Linked DNA regions of Macaca mulatta. The protein of the gene in region 2 purifies or fractionates together with the protein of the main gene of each other region. This does not show direct contact. Links are inferred from orthologs where the notes say so. Each region holds a gene or a part of one and is shown on either strand. Other genes may lie near its edges.

Region 1 (3,917 bases), on a different chromosome or scaffold from region 2:
CCCCGAAATCTCTTTTAAAAGTAGGCATTTCTTGGTGATTCTAATAAAGGGGGTTCTCAGACATATTTGGAAAAGCATATACCTACTTTTACGCCAGACCCTGTGCTGGGGCCCCAGGCTAGCTGTATGACCTGACACTGCACAGTCCTGCTTAGGATGCTCAAGGAGAGTTTATAAGGTATCACCCTGCATACCATAGGCAGGGGAGCAAAGGGGCTCCAGTGGGCCCTGCCTAGGAGGCCTGAAGCTGGAGCTGCTGAGGGCAGGGCTGTGCTGCTGAGAAAATATCTGAGAGCTGCAGGCGTTTCATCTTCTGTCATCAGCTGTGGCACCTGGCAGACACTGGATACCACAGCTTGTAGACAAAGACCTGGTAACTCAAGAAGCTGCTTGGCATTCCTGCCCAGTCCCATCCCAGAGGCACTGTACGTCTCCGGTTTCTTCAGGGGGCCCTGTGTGGAAGTATCTTTTGTCTTCCTGTGTCAGGGATACCATCACGTGCCTATTGGCTAGACGAGCCCGGCGCCCAGTCTCCTAGGACAGGGAGAATAACGTTCCCGAGCAGAGCGGGGTGGGGCTTTCAGACTACTCCCGTTCCTTTACTGCAGGCTTCATTCCATCGACCTCATCACAGCCTTCCTGGGAGCACCCCAGACAAGAGTTCTGTCCAGGCCGGGCCCTGGCTGCCTGGTTCACTGCCGAATCCCCAGCACCACGCCTCGCATGTCGGGCTCAGAGCATGTTTAGTGAAGGAATGGGTACCTATTGCTAGATGGAAGCCATCTCTCTAGATTTGGGGTTTCCCTACGACGATGGCTATTTTTGGCACGGAAGCCTCTTTAGAAGTCAATAGTAGGAAATAAGGGCTAACGGCACCTAACTGTGGAGTAATGTTCAAATCCTGGCTCTGCCACTTAACCGTTCCGAACCTGTTCCCTCACTGCAGAGGCGAAAAGGCTAACACTATTTCACCTCGGAGGGTTACTGTGGAGAATGGAGGCTGGACAAGCTGTATCAGTTCAGTAGTAAAACACACACACACAAGCGCCCCCCCATCCCCACCCCAGGAATGAACACACACACACCCGCGCGCGCACACACATACACCTCAGGAATGAACACACGCGCGTACACACACACGCAGCCCCTCCCAGGAATGAACACACACACACACGCGCGCGCGCCCCGTTCTGTTGTTCCCAGGAACACACACATAGGCGCACACACGCCCCGTTTTGTTTTTTCCAGGCCGTTTAGCTGGGGTATTTTACTCGGCTTAGGGCGCCCCTGCCTGAAAGACCTTTCTAGGCCAGTCAGGGTTCGGCACCCAGTTGATGAGAGAGCGCGGCGCTTTCAGAGCTAGGGAAAGGCGAAAGCTCTCCCGTTCCCCAACCCCCCGGCCAGCCGCCCCGGCAGCTCCTCGTCGCCTCCCGGCCTGGGCCCGCCCCGCCGTCTTCGGCCTGCCGTCAGGCGATCTCGGCGGCCAGCCCAGCCGCTGTGTGACGCCGCGCGCCCCGGGGTCCTCGGCGCCTGCGCCCTCTCCTATAAAGCAGACGCCGCGCCGCGCCGAGAGGCTGTAGTGGCTTCGTCCTCCGCTTTTCTGTTCCTCCGCTGACGTCTCCTAGCTCTCGTCAGCCTCCCGCCGGCAGTCTCCTTAACACCGAACACCGTGAGTAGCCGCCCACTGAGCTGGAAAGGGTCGTGGCTCCCGGATTGCATGCAGGCTGGCCTCACTGCTGCGGTTTGGGCCTGCCCGCGGCGGGCGGTGACTGGGCCTGGCCTTCTTTCGGGCCCGGTGGATCGTGTTGTCGACCCCGTTCTTCGGGAGACACCATCAGGTCTCGTCCACCCTCTCCGCCCCCGATTCAGCGAGGCCTGCTCTGGCCGCGCGTCCTCACAGCGCTCCATAAGTGTGAGCCGAACCCCGGGCTGGGCTTTCTCTGCACCGGCCGAGCGTCAGCCGGCGCAGGCTCGGCTGCAAGGCCCAGGCTATGGCCGGGGGCCTCTCTTGGCCTTAAGCCTGCTGTCCCGGGGACTAGGGCGGGGGTGGCGGCGGGGTTGTGAATGGGGGTCCCTTGGCTGTCGTGAGCATGGGCGTGTGTCGGTGTCTGGCTTTTGTTGTGGTCGGGAGGGAGAGCTGCGGTGGTGGTCTGAGGCCGCCCGGTTCTTGGCTGCCATCCTTTCTCCCCCGTGTCTGGCGTCACTAGCTACCCGTCGGTCCTGGCTAACTGTGTGCGGGCGCCGAGTTTCTGCACATAGCCGCCTGTTCCTTGTAAATATTTCTTCGCGTTGTTTTGCTATGACTTGGAGTCGTTGAAATAACTATTGTGATAGCAGATACCATCTTCAGAGTGGTGTGACTTGTAAGAGCTGTGTATAACTTAACTCGAAGTGTCTGGCTTTTAAAGAAATAGGATGTCCAGCTGCTTTGGTTCACTTTTAGTGGGAACTTCACGTTTGGGTTTTAGGAACATGCATTTTTCCATTAGAGCGTCACAATAGAATGTATCTGTGTCATAGAACAATAGTCTCCTCCACTGTGCAGTCTAAAAAGCAGTGGCAGAATTTCGGGTCACTTAAAACGCAGGGGTTTTTTTCCCTTTATGATGTGATAGAACCCACTTTATGCTGGCCATGGAGAATTATTTACAAGTGCAGGAGCCTTTAGGCCTCTTTCTTTAGAATGGAATTGTTTTGAAAACATTTCAAATCAAAATTTCATCCATTATTACTTAAAAATTTTGCACTTTATTCTACTGTAACACTAAAACTTATCTTTTAGTTTAGTATTACCAAGTGCATCGAATTACAGATTTAACCGATTACCTACCTGCTATTTAGTAAGATCTCAACTCCCTTAAGAGTAACCCAATCCACGAATTTGACTATGACTAAGCACTTGAGTTATTTGAAAGAAATATGAAACGGTCGTCTTGCTTTTAGAGTAATTTTATCAACTGCATTGTTAGACTTGTGATTCTGCACTGTTCATTTCAGTACTATCTGATATAAAAATTACATGTTTAAATGTTTTATAATTAAAAATTGGACTCACGTTAAAATATTTTCTTTTGGAGATACCTTTTATTGTTGTCTTGTCACAGGAAGGGTCCTCTACTCTGGGTCCTTCTTCATTGAGCAGGGACAACGGCATTATTGGCAAGCGCTAAGCAACATGGAGAAGCAGACATGTTTGTGAATTGCAAAGTGAAATCTGATTCTCTCCAACCATGGATGAGTGAGAGTAGGATATTTCAGTGGCTGGTTTTAAAACACGCTTTACTTTTTTGCTTCCTTTGCCTAAGAACCTGTTTGCTTTGGGGTTGCGGACAATTGTCTCAGAGAAGCTGAATGAATATTTTAACCGATGTAATGGGTCATAAGTCTTTGAACATAAAATGGGTGTGATGCATGTTTTAAATGCCAAATGATACACTTTTGTGAAAATATATGCGATTTTTAATACAACACACCTAGAAAACTTCAGAGGTACCATAAGTTAATAGTGACATCATTGGATTATGAATACTTGAGAAGCATGGGCCTTTTAAAAGTTGTATGTGAATTTTAAGAGGCCTTGAATTAATCTGTACCAGGTATTGCTACTCTTTTTGTTGTTGTTTTTCTTTTATGTATGTTTTCTTTTTTAAAAAAAGAATTTGAAGATGGTAAGAAATTGTTGGACTTTTAATTTTAAATTCCTTTTTTTTTTTTTTTGCCAGAACTCAAGTCCTTTGGAATTAATTGCTTAACTTTTTTTTTTGACACGGAGTCTTGCTCTGCCACCCAGGCTGGAGTACAGCGGCGCGGTCTCGGCTCACTGTAAGCTCTGCTTCCTGGGTTCATGCCATTCTCCTGCCTCAGCCTCCCAAGTAGCTGGGACTACAGGCGCCCGCCACCACGCCCGGCTAATTTTT
Region 2 (2,434 bases):
GCCTGCTGCCATGTGTGGAGCCACAAGCTCCGTGTGCTTCCTGTAACGGGCAGCGGACCCGGATGCCAGGCTCTCCTCCTGCCGTCTTGTCACCACCATCACCCTGGGCCCCCTGAGCTCCGGTGCAGCTCTGACAAAGCCTGCAACGTCCAGCTGGAGCTGCACCTCTGCTGCCACTTCTGGGCCCCTGGTCCCTTCCTCCTCGGCATGAACTCTGAGGAGCTCTGCCCAACACCCTCCCTGCCCCCAGCAGCCGAGGCACTCCCTCAAGGACGGGACTGACTGTGGAGGCTGCCCTGGCACTGGGAGCGACGCGGCCTACTGACCCTGGAATCAGCAGGCCCTCCATGCTGCCAGCCCCGGCAGATGTGCCAGGCATCTCCCTGGATGTCACAGAGGGGGGACAGGGCAGTGTGACAAAGTCTGGCACCAGTACATGACCTCAGACGCACATGTCACTTGTCAGCAGTGACTGCAACAACCACTCCAGTGGGGCCACTATGCCAGCGGTGACGTCACCCGTCAGTAGTGACGAGATCCGCTCCACTGTGCCAGTGGGGCCCATGGTCTCCCTCCCTGCAGACAGAGACTGAACAACAACGTGCTGTTGCCAACTGTTTATTCAGGGCCCTGAACGGGTGGTGCGTGGACATGCAACACACTCGGGCCCACAGCAGTGTGACTGGCCGCTCCCAAGCCCCGGGCGCACAACCACAGCCAGGCTGCCAGAGCCAGCAGCCTCTGCCACTGCTGGGCCACTGTCCAGGGCCCCGCAGGACCAGCCGAGGGTGCCCCAGGCTGAGGCCAGCTGGGGCGGGTGAACCCCTAGCCTAGGGATGAGCGAGGAGCGGCACCCCCAGTATCCTGTGCACCCCAAGCTGGCCAGGAGGCCAAGGGGACCTTGGCTTCCAACCTCACTGGCCACCCTGTGCCAAGCATCACAGCTGCGTGAGCAGGTTTGCGTGTGAGAGCGTGGCGGGGCCTGGCTGTCCCCTTCCTAAGGCGTAACTGCTACAAGCGTCTCCACCTCTCCCGCTCGGGAAAGAACCACAGAGCCTGGGTGGCGTCGAGGGGTCCCAGCGGCTCCAGTGCACCCTGCAGCACCCCTCAGCGCCTCTGGCTGGCAAGCCAGGAGAAGAAGGCGCGAGGCCGCGGACGACGTGCCTGGAAGACGCGCACGGTGCGTGGGGAGCGCCAGGCTTTGATGGTGGCATCGTCGCTGGCCGTGAGCAGCAGCTCCTGCTCCTGGGGACTGAAGGCCACTGAGTTGACCACGTCCTCGTGCCGCAGCTTGGCCAAGCAGATGTTGTAGTGGCGGTCCCAGATGTAGCCGTGCCGGTCCTCCGCCCCACTGCAGAACAGCGCCTGGATGAGCCGGTCGCCCGCCTGCTGCGCCCACGCCCGCCCTGCACCACGCTGCGCCCTGCACCTGGCCACGAAGTCCCTGCTGACGTCCAGGAAGATGAAAAAGCACTCGTCGTTGGGCGTGTAGGCGCGGTGCGCACGCAGAGCCCGCCTCACCTCCCGCATGGTCTTGAGGTCGAACACCAGCAGGTCAATCTCCTCCGCGATGGGTGGCGGCTGCATGGGGTCAGCCACCACCGCACCACTGGGCCAGGCGCGGCTGTTCACATACAGGTACCTGGGCGAGGGGCACTGTGCTAGGTATGGGCCACCTGCGGGCACCCCGCCTGGGACACTGGCAAGAGGCCCACCTGTTGTCGGGCGACAGGCCCATGCCAATGATGTGCCCGTGCACGTCTATGACGTGGTCCAGCGCGTCGAAGAAGGCATCAGAGCCCCGGCCCTCGCCCAGCACGGGCCCCGCCGTTGTCATCTGGTGTGGCAGGATCTGCTTGATGCCTGCAGGGAGGGCTGCGGTGAGGGTCCCTGCCCAGTGCCCCGGGGACGTCACTCCAGGACAGCCCCCTACCCCAACAGTGTCTCTGGGGCTGTGGGCACCGCAGAGGTCTGCGGGCATTGCCTGCTCCGGGGGCCCCAGACCTGAATCAGGCCCCTCAGCTGCTCACTGGCCAGCGGGCCTGCCTGTTTGTTTTCACCGCTCATCCCGCAGACCCCAGACGAGGCCAGGTCTGGGCTTGTGACCCCGGGGTGAGTGAATGATCCCAGCTGTGCCTGTGAACTTGCTTGCCGTCTGCCCCCCAGGACCCCTGCCCGGCCTCCCCCAAGCTGCTAGGACCGAGGCGGGCAGCATGGCGGCAGGGGTGTACCGATCTGGTGTGGGGAGTAGGTGAGGCAGCCAGTGGTGAAGATGAGGTACTTGCTCCTGGCGCCTGTGGCACTGCGCTCAGGGGGCTTGGTGTGGCCCTGGGCCAGCAGCTCGGCCACCTTGGTCTCTAGCACGCGCTCCGATGGCTGTGGCTGCGCCCGCCCCTCCAGCACGCGGTCCAGAAAGTGCCGCAAGCCCTCCTTG

Evidence for each region.
Region 1: the proteins of FBXW5 (region 2) and SKP1 purify together in Homo sapiens (affinity purification with western blotting; 16 studies listed by BioGRID and IntAct, with this or other methods). This does not show direct contact. The link is inferred for Macaca mulatta from reciprocal best matches to the Homo sapiens genes FBXW5 and SKP1.

What each region holds. Positions count from the first base shown.
Region 1 is NC_133411.1:143,076,575-143,080,491, reverse strand, and holds the start of SKP1 (S-phase kinase-associated protein 1), read left to right. Parts: upstream 1-1,569; 5' UTR 1,570-1,669; exon of another isoform or gene 1,670-1,838; intron 1,839-3,917. UniProt on the Homo sapiens protein: Essential component of the SCF (SKP1-CUL1-F-box protein) ubiquitin ligase complex, which mediates the ubiquitination of proteins involved in cell cycle progression, signal transduction and transcription.
Region 2 is NC_133420.1:5,526,060-5,528,493, reverse strand, and holds the end of FBXW5 (F-box/WD repeat-containing protein 5), read right to left. Parts: coding exon 2,232-2,434; intron 1,864-2,231; coding exon 1,716-1,863; intron 1,643-1,715; coding exon 1,430-1,642; intron 1,352-1,429; coding exon 1,108-1,351; 3' UTR 603-1,107; downstream 1-602. UniProt on the Homo sapiens protein: Substrate recognition component of both SCF (SKP1-CUL1-F-box protein) and DCX (DDB1-CUL4-X-box) E3 ubiquitin-protein ligase complexes.